Linked DNA regions of Caenorhabditis elegans. The protein of the gene in region 1 interacts with the protein of each later gene in a biochemical or structural test. Each region holds a gene or a part of one and is shown on either strand. Other genes may lie near its edges.

Region 1 (6,865 bases):
TCAGAAAAAAAAGAGTTTCAGAAAATAAAACATCGACCATTTTCAATTTTCTGAGTTTCCAAAGTTCAATGATCAATAGTTCATTAGTTACAGACATGGGTGCGCGGTAATCGGAAATTTTGGTAATTGCCGAAATTGCCGATTTTCATTCAAGGATTAAATCATGCCGAGCTTGAAAAGAGAAAATTGTCCATTAAAATTCATGTTGAGTTTCGTAAATCTACAAAAAGTATCGAATTTATATTTCCGGCGATTCTGAATTTCAGCAATCGGCAATTTCGGCAATTGCTGGGTTTCAAAATCTCCGGCAATTGGCAACTTTGGCAATTGTCGGTTTTGTGAATTTTCGGCAATAAGCAATTGCCGTGCACCCTGTTTACAGAGTTAACACGATTTCAAAGTTAGAAATTTGCTGGTTGCCGACTACTCGAAATAAAGAATATCAAAACTTTCATCCATTTGACAGACATTTTCTGAAAATTGTTATAAGTTCATCGATAATGATATAATAATAATAATAATAATATAATTAACTTGAAAACATATTTTATTAACCAATCATCTTATTTATTTCATAGAAACACATGCAGCACAGTCAGGTGAGGGATGGAAAAACGGGGGAACGGAATCGGGGAGAAAAAAGTTGTTGGCAAGAAAATGACCGCTCTCCAAATTATTTACTGGTACCACGACGCGACGTCTTCAGCAGCAGGTGCCACGTGGAATGATGATCGCTTTCCAAAACGGAGAGGTCCAGATGGTCCACGTCGTTTTCCGAATCGAAGTGGTCCCTGGGGTCCGCCTTTCTTTACGTCTGAAAATTTAGCATAAAGTGGTCACCAAACATAAAAAAATTGGTAGGTTAAAAAGCAATCAAACCGTTTGAGATATAAAAAAGTTTTAACTGAAAATAGATAGAAAACTTATTTGTTATAAATGTTTTTAAAAGTATTAATTTTCAAAATGGTATTCTCACTTGAATTCAGCGATAAAATGTATTTCTGAACATTTTTTGAAATGCTGATATCTTTTTAGAAACTTAAGAGATCGAAAAGTTTTGAATAAACAAATGTTTTAAAACTTTGTGATTTTCATTTTTTAAGTTAACAATTCAAAAGCTTACAATTGGAAAAGTAGTCCAAATCAACAGCCACTGGGATTGTTCCGACCGAATTGTCGTCGTAATCTGCAATTTTAGAATGCTTGTTTTTTTTTTGAAATTTTGGTTCATTTGAAAGTCATAGTTTGAGCTTTTAATTACTACTTATTAGTTTTTAATTCCCATTGTTCCAATCTTGGAAATATCAAATTCCTTCTGAATCCTTTCAAGTTTATTTATAAAGTGACGTTTTTTTTTTCTCATTTTCCACTTTCTAAATATTTGTTTAAAATTCACAAAAATTCTCACATGAAACCCACTTCCGACACACGTACATATCATTTTTCCATAAATAATTCGAATGGACGCCGTGTGAAACTTTTGGCACAATTTTTTTGTTTTGTCTTCTGGTAATTTGAGATGCATTTTGTGCCAAAATTTTGAAATTTCTACACTCTGTTTAAAAATTTCAATTGAAAAAATGAAAATTTGCTGGAAAATCAATCAGACAATTTTTGACAAAAGCTTTGGTAAACTTTCGACAATTCCGGCAGTTTAGTAGTACTTTTTTGGGAAAGAATCTCAAAATTTTGAATGTTGCCCCGTTTGACCTCAGCACCCAAAAAAAGAAAAATCTCCCCCAACTTTTTTTTTCATAAAATATTCAATCTTTTATCACTCATCTCAAACATCTACCCCCTCATCTGCATAAACGTGATGCTCTCGAAAAAAAACGAAGAATTTGTCAAGTTTTCATTATCAAAGTGAGAGAAAAGAACAAAAGAATAAATTAGACAAGGAAGCTCGTTTTGTTTGACTAGCTGAGTTTTTGGAATTTTTAGGTAACGGGTTTGTGTGACGAACTTTTTTTTGAAAGTATAAATAATTCTTAACCAACTTCAATAGTTTATCAAACTATTGTCAACTGAAATTTTTTTGCAATTCTCTCTAATGTTTTCTCTCTAATTTTGTAGTCTGCTGCTATGCCTATTTTATCTTGCTTCGGTATAAATGTTTAACGGTGGAGTACCGAAATCCGAGACTTTGTTTTTTAGATCCAAAATGACCCAAAACTACCGAATTTCGTATGAAACGTTTTAAACATTTTTCAAAAAAGTTATAACGAGTTCAAAGTTCTGGAAAAAAGGCTCATTTTCTGCTAAAATCAAACATTTTTGCCATCTTCTCGCTGTCGCAGCGTCTGGAACTCAATTTTGGAATAAACAAATGACATATTAGTTTAAAATTAAAAAAAAATTAATTGCTACACTTGCAATTCTAAAAAAATTTGAACAATATAAAATCGTGTTGTTAATTAAATTTTCTTGGGAAAATTAATCGCATTTCAAAATACTGATAATATTGAAATCTGTGGTCTAAAAAACTAATTTTTGGTCAATCATCGACGTCTGATAATTTTAGTACCAAAAGGCAAAAATTTTGTCCAGTAACCTCAAATTGTGTCAAAAGAATTTCGTGATCAGTGAAAATAATTAACTTTTAAATGTTAACTTTTGAAATTAGCCGCTTGCGTTTTAAATTGTTAAAATTAAAATCCCCAGCCCATTTTCAAATACACAACCATCATCATTCCTAAAGGTTTCCAAAATAAAGCGAGCCCCATGTGTTGCTCATTGGTTTCAAACTTTCAAACTAATCGCCTGACGACCCCCAGTGGACGTGCACCGCCAATAAAACCTTACCAAAGTTAGACCCTGGAGTGTGGAAATGAATGAAAATCGATGCAAATGGCTCCTCTTTATGGTTGATACATGTGTACATATTATGACAAAACAAGAAGAAGAAGAAGACACTACTATGTAGACGGGCGTGGGTGGTGACAAATTTGGAAGTTTTAGTGGGAAGTTTTAATCCCTTACACCTTAGACTAGAGACATTTTGATTTTGAAATAGGAATTATAAAATTTTTATCTACGGTTCTTTGGCAACTTGTAAATCTCAAATAATTTGAATTTTGTCTTAAAAATAGTTGTTGCACGAAATTCGGCAATAATACTTTTCAAAATTACCGATATTCTATAAAAAATGAAAACAATTTTTGAAAAATTATAAGAATTTTGAAATTTGCCCAAACTCTTGATCAATCATCAAATCCTCACAAAAAAATTCGGCAGCTTTTAAAATAATGTCTTTAAAAATTTGGCAATTTTTGGAATATTCCTAAAACTCTTGACTAATTTTCGCTAGCTCTTCGGCTTTTCATGAACTTTTGGCAAATTTTTGAAACTTTTAAACAGTTTTTGATGTTTTTTTTTGCAAATTTCGACGCTTTTGGAAAAACTATCAGCTTCCGGCACTATTTCAAGCTGTCGAAAATGTTTTGCGACTTTCAAAATCAATTTCATCATCGTTTACAACCGATTTAAACATTTTAACGATCTTTTGCACTTTTCCACTTACAAATCTAAAAACTTCAGTTTTCTGACTTCTAAACCCTTACCTTTTCACTTCCGGAGCCCAGTGATCCGTAAAGTCAGAATTTTTCCAAAAATTTTACTACTAAACTACACAAGCGGAGGAGTAAGGGAGGGGATTGTTGAATGACAAATGGGAAAAGAACAAAGAAAGTGGAATTAGGAAATGACAAGAAATGATGGAGGAATGGATCAAAACTGACAGGGTTACGGTAGGGTGATGTCATCGAAATTTTGAAATTATATATTTATAATTTTAGAGCTGTCAAAAATTTGTTACCAGTTACAATGTAACTGGTAACAAATAACTTGTAAAAATGTTTTTTATTGCTTTATTAGACTCAAAATTGTCTGACAACACCCGAATTTCATAATGAAACTTCATGAAAACTTCTCAAAAAAATAGTTATACGGCTCAAAAAAGGGCCTAATATTAGTCAAAATTTGAAATTTGACGGAATTGTCAATGTCGCAGCGGCTGATAACATTGTTTTAAATCACCGCCAAATTTTGAGTATATGAGTATATGTAATTATTTTGCCTTTTCAACTCGATTTAGTTATTTTAAAGTCGATGGACCAAAAGATTTTAAACATTTTTACCAAATTTCTTCGTCTATTGGCTTACTAAATCGAGTTGATAACGCATGATAACTAAATTTTATACCCAAAATTTGACGGTAATTTCAAAACAGTTTTTAGACCATTTTTTGAGCCGTCATAACTTTTTTTTCGAGAAGTTTTTAAGAAGTCTGCGTTTTCAGACAATTTTGAGGGTAGTAAAGCAATTTTAAAAAATCTGGCAAGTTATAGTGAATTTTTTGGTCGATTTATTATCAATTTGTTTTAAATGTTTTTCTTGTTTTTGCTCCAGTCTCACCAAAGTAAAAACTTGACAGTTAATTTTTTTGTTATAATCCCCCGTTACATTTGGGTGTTGCTAAAAAATTTCCATACTTCTTTGATTTATTATCTACAATCTGACTGACTAAAGTTCAACTTGACTTAAATGGCGAGCTCTGTTTTGAGTAAACCGCCAATTTGCCTGTCAGAATGTCGAAATGATGTAAACTTTTGAAACTAAATATCAAGTTTGCTGGAAATCGGATCACGAGGATATGTATCATAAGTTTTTGAATTCGTCACTCGGAGAATACATTTTTTAAAACTTATTTATTCAGCCATTATGCTTCTCAAACCTGCAGTTATAACTAAAGCTGGTCAACTCACCCAAACATGTATAAAACTCCGTAAAAAACCTAATCTTTTTGATTTTTCGTATTGTATAGAATCCGTATCGTATTTTCAGTTTGCAAATCTAGCCAACAACTCTTACCTGCAAGTGTAGCAATTGCCAAAACCGCAAAAACTGCAACTCGAATAAGCGTGGAGAACTGCATGACGAGGTGTATGTGGGAGACCTTCTTCCAAAAAATGAGCCGAAAGCTCTTGCGAAAGCGCACACGAGCAGATAGGGCGGGATCTGAGCTCCGCCCTTTGCGCAGCTCTGTAGTTATTGATGAGCAGTCAGAAACTTGATATTTTTTGAAATGAAAATTTTGAAATTGGGGAAAAGGTACCACTTTTCAACAAAACCTGACACCACTTTTGAAGTTTGCTCCGAATTCAGGAGTTTGGCACATATATAAGTGACCAAAAAAGTTCAACGCTTAAAATACTATTCTATATATTTTTCAGATTAATTTTGCAGATAATATCAAAAAATTTGAAAAAAAATGGATTCCGGTGATACCAACTGACAATATAAAAATTTGAAGTAGCGGGGCAGACTGAATTCAGTAGATATGACACAAAATACTAAATTTTGCAAAGAACGAGTTTTGAGTGGTTATTTCAGCTTTAGGAACACTTCCTGTAAACTACTATTAATTTTTATTTGACTTATAACAACCGAGAAAGTGTTCAAAAATTGTCCGAATGTGGAAAACTGGCGTCAATTTTTCGGCAATTTTCAACATTCAGACGATTTTTGAAGATTTTTCCAATATTTTTTACTGAAATAACAGTTATTTTCAAGTAATGCAAATATTTTCTATATTGTACCATTAAATTTTAACGAATAATATCGGGGGAACATTCCCAACCGTCTCATTTTGTAGAATTCCCGCGCACCCCTGATTGGCACTCTAATTCACAACCCCTTTCTAACGAGAACTTCGAATTTAAAAAAACCCAACTATAGCCTTTGTTTTTAAAAAAAATTTATGTTCATAACTTTCAGATTATATTAAAAACGATAACTTCAAAGTTTCAGAACCATGAAACAGGCGTGACCTAGCGTACAGTACCCCTTATTGGACCGCCGCATCCCCAAAAACTTCAGAGCGGCAATAATTACACCTGGTAATTATTACACCAGTTGTTGTCACTTGAAAATGGTGTCGTGTTACTGTAGCCCCGTGTGTATCCATAATTCGGTCATATTTCAAACGAAACCGGCACAATATTGCAGAGAGACAATTGACTTTTATGTATGCAATTAACGGAACTAACAAAGTGGAAATGGTATTTCTGTAGTTTGTTGAGATGAGAAGTTGAGGGGAAAAACTTGGAACCTTTTTTTAAATACATTTTTAAGTATCAACTTAAATAAAATTGAGCAAAATTATATTTCGAAATTTGAAAGTTTTACAAAATTTTGATAATAACTCAATCCTCAATGGCTTTTTTTTTGAAACAGAATTGAGATATTGGCAGAATTCAAGACACCGTTTAAAATTTTCCGCGTTATATTGGATAGATTTTCGGAATTCAAGATTTCGGGAAAAAATTTAAAATTCTGCCCGCCGAATTAATTCAGCGAGTGTTTTTTTTCGGTGTTTAAAATTCCGTTTTCTTCATTTTTTTTTCAATGATATATTTTTATTGTAGTTTGAAAATTTTGATAATTGAAAAATATCCTAACCTAGTAACAAGTTGTAACAACAGACGCCTCGTAGGTTTCAAAATTAAACCTGCAATATAGGCGATTTTCAACATTCAGATTCAATATTCAACATTCAACAGCTTCCGTGATATTGCTATTTGAAAAATTATCAACTGGCAAAATGAAAAAGTATTTGTAAACCTATATAGCAACCGATGAAAATTACTAGCCAACATTGTTGTACATTTTAGTAGTCGAAAACTTTTCAAAACACTTCTGAAAAACGTTAGCCAACAGGTTTGGGAGCTATAACTTTTTACAGCGTCGATTTACAAAAAAGTTGTAAGCTAACATTTTGAGCCAGTTTTTTGCATTCAGTTAGTTATTGCAATATTTTTCAACTCACTTGTAAAAGAACTTATACCAGCCGACATCTCAAAGGTCT
Region 2 (7,021 bases), on another chromosome or scaffold:
TTAAAAAATCTGTTATATTTTTTTCTGAAAGAATTGAAATTCACATATTTTGTTTGGATTTAAAGTTGCGTTTTTACAGCCAATAATGGTACGGTAGGAGCAATACAGTACGTTTTTTTAAAATAAGTATTTTTCGTGAAGATAAATTTCTCGGATAAAAATGAAAGAAATTTAAAATTTTTAGTAAATTAGTAGATAATTGTTTTCATGATATTTGATCTCTCAAAGGAAATTCCCGGAAAATGATACTCTGCGTTTAAATTGTTGTTTTTGTATTTATATTTTTTTGAATTTGTTTAGTAATGCAAAAAACTTATTTTTGTTTTTGTTACATCTGCCGGGTTCCTCTATTTAGCTGTTTGGTGATCTGATGAATACCGGAACTCGGTTAGTGTCGAGTGCTGCTAAAATTGTGATTCAGGACTCTTATCACCCCTACATTTTCGTAGACACAGAAATATTTGCCTCTTGCTCGGTGTGCATTTTCAAGACGTTTCCCTGTTGTATAATCCCATTTTTCTTTGCGTGCATCTTTATTAGGTGACGCTATTTTGACACAAAAAAAAACAAGAAAAGAAAACAAAGAAAATACAAAAAAGGCAATTAGATTTTTGTGGGGTTGCTGTCTTAGGAGGAGAAAAAGCGGAGCGAACTGGACCCGGATTAATCGCACGTTTCGTTATGCAAAAAATGAACAGAAAATAAAGATAATGGAATTTTTCGAGAGACGGGCAAGATGAACACAGGGGAGTAACGTATAGAATTTACAGCATCTCGCGGGTAGTACTCGTCGAGCCATTAGAAAGAGTTGCCTGCACATCTGTCCGAATGAGTAGAGGTCGGGAGGAGGTCGTGTAGCTGGATCCCTCGCAATCCAGAACCACCTGCTTTTTTCGAACCCTGCAAAATACAATTTTCAAAGATATGAAGGTATTTAGTGAAGCGGCGGACACCCCCCCCCCCCCGGGTTTGCTGTAGGATTAGCAAAACCCAGAAAATGTCGGTTGCGGCGGAAGTAGACTATGTGGTTCATGCAAATCGAGTCTCGAAATTACGCTCAACTAACTGATATCATGGCGCACTAATTTGTTCGGTAGAGCGCACTTGCATTATCGGATTGAAAAAAGCGCATTTAAACGGGAAAATCAACATTTTTTCTGTTTGTTAGCTATAAATTTGTATGGCTCGCTTTTCTCTGTTATTTAGAGCATTTAATAAATTCAAAAACTCAAAACTTGCAAATTTAACGGCGATTGGTCCAGCCTCTGCCAACTAGAATTAAACCCGAAAAAATTTCCAAAAAATTTCCAAAGTCCACGAGTAGTACACGACCCATGACGGCACTGCGCGGCAGACGCGCCCCATCGCAAAGAGGAGATGTGTACCCCATATCAAGCTTGAACAACGTACAAAAGACCAGGAAACAGAATTTTTTCGAGAAAAGTCAAGCAGTTAGAGGATTAGAGAGTTTTTTAAAAGTTAGAAGAGAACCTGTACCTGTCAATATTGTTTCTCCGAAACGTTGACCGCCGAATCGAGTTACTCACTCTACTGGCAAACGAGGACACAATCTGAAAACAAAAGGCGGCTCAGAGGAAGAGAGGGGGGACACAAAGGAAGCAGTGGAAAACGGGAAGAACACCAGGAGCACACGGCTAGGAGCAAACTTTATACAAGGGGACTTGAAGAAGTTTACAATACTCACCTCTGTTGAGTTGAGTATTTTTGACAGTCCGGAACGTTTTTGTTTTCGTGTCAGCCAAAAGAATAGCAGAGGGTTCCAGACGACTAAGGACATGGCTATGACGTGAGCATTTATTGCCCAGAAGAACGGCTGACGTTTTAGCCATTCGGGCTCTTTTTCTGAAAATTTTGGTTTCAATGTGTAGTGATTTTGAACATAAGTTTCGAAAACTACGGCAAATATTTTTTCGAACATTTTAATCGCTCACACTAGGAATTACAGCAGGAATTCTACATAGACCTACCACAGGCAGAAGCTTTTTATGTAGGCTTCCTTTTCGTAACATTACACCGACTTGGATTGAGCAGCATAAATTTTCACCAAATTATAAACTAACCACATTTTGCTCATTTTTACAAACTATACATTTTGACCTTTTTCAATTTAAGAGCCCATGTTACGACTAATTGAACGTGCTGTGCTGAGAAGAGATTTCGTTTTTCAGACCAAAAATGGCCCAAAATTACCAAATTTTGTAGTGAGGCGTTTTGAAAATTTCTCAAAAAAAAAGTTTGGGCGATTATTTTTGGAAAAAATGGCTCATTTTCAGCGAAGGTGTAAATTTTTACCAATTTTTACAAATTTCGGAATTTTTGAGACATTTCGAGTTGAGCTAAACAACTTTTCAAACTTTTTTTAAAAATTTATATATAATTTTTGGTCATTTTAGTAATAGTTTTCAGTCATTTGGGCCGTATTCAACCTTTAATAAGTTAATTTTAATATAAGACAGTCAAAAACAAAATTGAGCAGAAAATGTTGTCAATTATAGTTAGCGTTTTCAAAACAGTTGACTACGATTTTTTTTTCCAAAAAACAAATAAAAACTCACTAAAATCTTTGACCAAATTGAGTAATGTTAAAGGCAACCAACACCCGATAAATGTGACAACCATTGCAATTAGAATATAATTCACTTTCTTCTTTCGTGACGTCGCATCACTTCTCTGCTTTTGTGTCAGTGATTGACAGAATTGAGCATTTTGGATGATCATGTCTTTTGACACTTTTTGCAAGATTTTGAAGTAGCAATACGTGATCACTGCCATCGGCACGACGAACTGCAAATTTGGACGTATGTAGGAAAATTTCAAAAGTTTTAAAAATTTAGGTTTGCAAAATTTTTATGGTTGTTAGGTCAGCGTGTTTTTGCTCACCTGTAACAACATAACCGTAGTTCCGTAAATCTTTCGACTATTTTCGCTCTGCCAATTCGCCTCGTCGCAAAAGTGCCCGCAGTATGGAGTTTCTCCGGGCTGAACGTAAAAGCTTCCATCGACGTGCTCGAAAGACATAAGATACGGTAGATTTATCAGTGTTGAGACTATCCAGATAAGAAATGTTATTGCCAACGCTTGACGAATCTGGAAAGAAAATGAAATTCGAAAATGGTTTTTTTTTTTAATTTTAAAAATGAGTTTTAACCGGAAAAATTTAAAACTATCCAGAATTTCCTAGATTTTTTGGACAAATCCAAAAACTTCAAGATTAGAAAATTTAAACAAAAACCTCTTGGACATTCCTGAAATGTTAACAGCCTTCCAAAAAATTTAAGAAGCTTCAAGAAATTTCTAAAACATTCAAAAAAATTACAGAACCTGTCAGAAAATTCTAAAACCTTGTAGAAAATTATAAAACATCCCAGAAAACTCAAGGAATTTCTAGAAAATTATGGGAATCTCAAAAAAAAATTTAATGTCCAGAAATTTTTAAAGCGTTGCAGAAAACTCAAAAAATTCTGAAAGCTTCCCGATAATTCTAAAACAATAAAAAATGTATAACCTTTCCAAAAAAAAAGTCTGAAGTAGTACAGAAATTTCTAGAACACTTCAGAAAAAATTCTCGAGTCTTCCAGAAAGATTTGAAAACTTGCAGAAAATTCAAGGAATTTTAGAAAAATTCAATAATATCCAAAAAAAATTTAAAAACTACAATAAAATTCCAGAACTATCCAGAAATTTCTAGCTCATTTCAGAATATTCATGAAGCTTCAGAAATATCTAGCACATTTCGAAAAAAACTTACAGAAACTGGTTGTTTGGTGGGATCGTTGATATGCAGAAATTTATCTAAGGAGATTGCAGTGAGGCTCCAACTCGTCACAAACACCGAACACGAATTTGACAAAGGAACTAAATGGCACATCACTGACCCGAATGCCCAGTCTTTGGTCATCGCGTACCTGGAAAATGGGAATTTTTTGAAAGAAAAAATTCATAACATATTCTACAGGAGATATTCACCTAAAAAAACTTGCTCAAAAATTTTAACAATTTTTTTTGAAAATTACTCAATTTTCATTGCAGTAAAAGTTTAGGTTATAAAAATTAAACAATTTCCCTCAAAATTTTCACAAAAATCCATACCATGGTGTGACTGGAATCGCTGTGAACACCAATATCAAATCGGTGAAGATCAAGTTGAGCAGAAATACGTTGCGAGCCGATTGGAGCCGCTTGTTTCTCGCCACCGCCCATAGTACGCCGCCGTTTCCAAAAATGCCTAATACAAACAGGAACCCGTAGAGGAATGTGAAGATTGATCGGATGTAAAAGTCTCTGCAAAAATTTGATTTTTTGAGTGTAGGGGAGGAGAGGGTAGGACTTTGAGTATGGCCGGCACGTGAGACAAAAAAATGACGTCATACAAACCGTAAGGTGTCGGGTGCTACACGTGGCAGAAAAAGTTACGCCAATCATGCCCGCGAGGTGTCTACCGCTACTTGTCAAAGGAAGTGACCACACAGTGCGGCAGACATCTCTCGGTCATGTTCCACGTCACTTTCTTACAGCTTTAGTGTGACAGAGGAGGGACGTCGTTCATTACAGTAATATGTCGGCTGCTAAATCTAGAAGAGCAACGACGTTAGACATACCCTTGAAATGTCGGCTGCTAAGTTATCTAAGGTATTCAAACTTTCTCTTTTTGTTTCCCTGCGATCGCCAGTTTAATGTCCCCATTTAATTTTCATGGATGCTTCCAGCTCAAGAACATTTGAAAAAAATGTCAAGAGCACACAGCTGTCGGATGTCACAACAACTGTATCATCTATCTCTCTCCACCCTAGTTCTCAACAACTTTTCTCACACTGATAATGATAACAAAAATTTGCCAATTGATTTTTCTCCAAGGAAAATGAGAAAGAGAGCACTTTTCCATGTCACTCGTCAGCCACATGTCAAAAGTTGAAATGTTTGAGGACAAGTCTCTCGAGCGGTTTTGGGTGAAAAAGATGAGATCGTTGAACTATGACGGAAATTGTGATTTTTGTGGTGAGAAAAGTTGACAGGTTTTTTTGGAAATTATAAGTTAGAAAATCCATCCAGGATACCCAAAACTTACACAGTAATATCATCGATGCCTTGTGCCGCAATCGCCTCAGCGATCTGAATGCACGAGCCATTGTTCGAATGACTTGTGATAACGTTGCTGATGGTGGAGGGAGTCGTTGTGGTTGAAATGGTCGAAATGGTGGCCGCCGAACTAACCATGCATCGAAGGTTCTGGAATTGAAAATTTGATATTAAAGAGAGAATCTTTCAGAGGGGTAATATAATCGATAAAAGGATTTGAAAAAAAAAATTCAAAAAAGTCAAAATCACATAAAAACGTTTTGAAGAAAATTACATGCATAAAATCCATAAAATAAAAATATCGTTGAAAATTTTAGAGTTTTTAAATTTTTTAAATTCGAAAATCGAAAAATGTTTTTTTCTAAAATGGGAAAATCGAAAAGCGTGTTCTGGAAATTAATCATAAAATCCAATTTTCTATCAAATTTCAGTCGATGAAAAAAAAAAGGAAATTTCTTCTAAAAAAAAGAAAAATGGTAAAAATTTTGAGCTATTGTTCGGGAAGTAAAATTTTTATATTTTTAGATTCTTTTTTTTAGATTTTCAAAAAAAAAATCAAATTTTACATAAATTGTTATGTTAATGAAGTTAAATAAATCAATCTCGAAACCCGCTTTAAAATGTGCCAGGTAGTTCAAAAAACAAAGAATAATCTCCATAATTTTAGGACTAAACAAAAAACCTTTAAAAAATCAAAAAAATTATCTAAATGTCTCAGTCTTCCCAGTAAATCCTTGGTTTTTGACCTATGGGCTTCCAACAAAAAGTGTAAAAATAAATTATTATATGTACGTCACACAAAAAAAATTTGACAAAGATAACAAAGAGATTAAATAAAGAAAAGCTCTCCCTTGACCGATCACCAGTCCATTTTTGACCTATTAAAAAACATCAATTATTTAAAATTTAAGCTTGAAAAAAGTCACATGGCTCCTAGGAATAAAGCTAGCTTCTAACAATTCACCCAAAATTTGGAGGTATTCAGCGTGATAAGGTGGATAAAGTGTGACTAATGTTTGGTTCAATGGCAATTTGATGAATGAAATATGTAAAAGGGGGTCACAGGAAACTCGCATCATTATTATATGACTACCAATTTTTGACTACCAATTTTTCTTGGGCCTAACTTTTCAGGTAAGCATCAGGCAATTGGGCTTGCCTGAGGCGCCTTCCCTGCCTACCACAATTATAGGCTTTGTTTTAATAACAAATTTGTAAGTTTAAAGTAAAGTTCAAAAATGATAGTTTAGTTTTAAAACATTTTTTCGAATGCCAAAAAAATTCCAATTCCATTTAAGTGACGGGGTTTTTTCGAGGTATTTTTAGAACATTTACTAATGAAACAACAAAATTTTATAAAGTATTGGAGTCTAAAATTCTGCAAATGATATGATAAGATTATCAGAGCACACTTTTGGCTTTTAGAGCAAAAAAAGATGGAGAAGAAAGGAGAGAGAGAAATAAGGTTCAACAAGATTAGAGCAATTGGACGGAGATAGGGCGGAGATGCGATAATCTTTGACGTTTTTACGGCGAGTGGAGATGGAGAAGGAGGATTCTTAAAAACTGCGTGAGCCGGCAGTATGTCTAGTGAAATTTGAGAACACTACGAGAAGACTATCACCTGGTGTGGGAATTTGAAGGTAGGCAGGTAGTTTAGAAGGTTTTTATGGGTGAGCTCAATGGGGGGGGGGTGTTGAGTTTGAGGAGCAAGAATAACGATATAAGAAGAAGCAGTGAGATGGGAATTTTTTAGAAAAGTTTCAGGTAGACAGGCGCGTGTTTTAAATGTGCCTACCTACCAGTGTTGTGCGGTTAAAAAATTATATGAAAATTTTTACAGTGGTAAATTTCAACTTTTTGAATCCAAAAATTATGAAGAAATAAAAAATAATAATGATTTTTGCTTAAAAAAAACTTTTTA

The links. The genes of interacting proteins can lie anywhere in the genome.
Region 2: of the proteins of flp-15 (region 1) and npr-5, one has a biochemical effect on the other in vitro, tested with the Caenorhabditis elegans proteins (one study listed by BioGRID).

The regions. Positions count from the first base shown.
Region 1 is NC_003281.10:13,662,871-13,669,735, forward strand, and holds flp-15 (FMRF-Like Peptide), read right to left. Parts: upstream 4,970-6,865; 5' UTR 4,934-4,969; coding exon 4,870-4,933; intron 1,187-4,869; coding exon 1,124-1,186; intron 815-1,123; coding exon 678-814; 3' UTR 530-677; downstream 1-529.
Region 2 is NC_003283.11:276,470-283,490, forward strand, and holds npr-5 (G-protein coupled receptors family 1 profile domain-containing protein), read right to left. Parts: upstream 5,248-7,021; 5' UTR 5,236-5,247; coding exon 5,087-5,235; intron 4,303-5,086; coding exon 4,111-4,302; intron 3,927-4,110; coding exon 3,770-3,926; intron 3,109-3,769; coding exon 2,902-3,108; intron 2,806-2,901; coding exon 2,577-2,805; intron 1,864-2,576; coding exon 1,706-1,863; intron 1,572-1,705; coding exon 1,498-1,571; intron 901-1,497; coding exon 765-900; 3' UTR 517-764; downstream 1-516.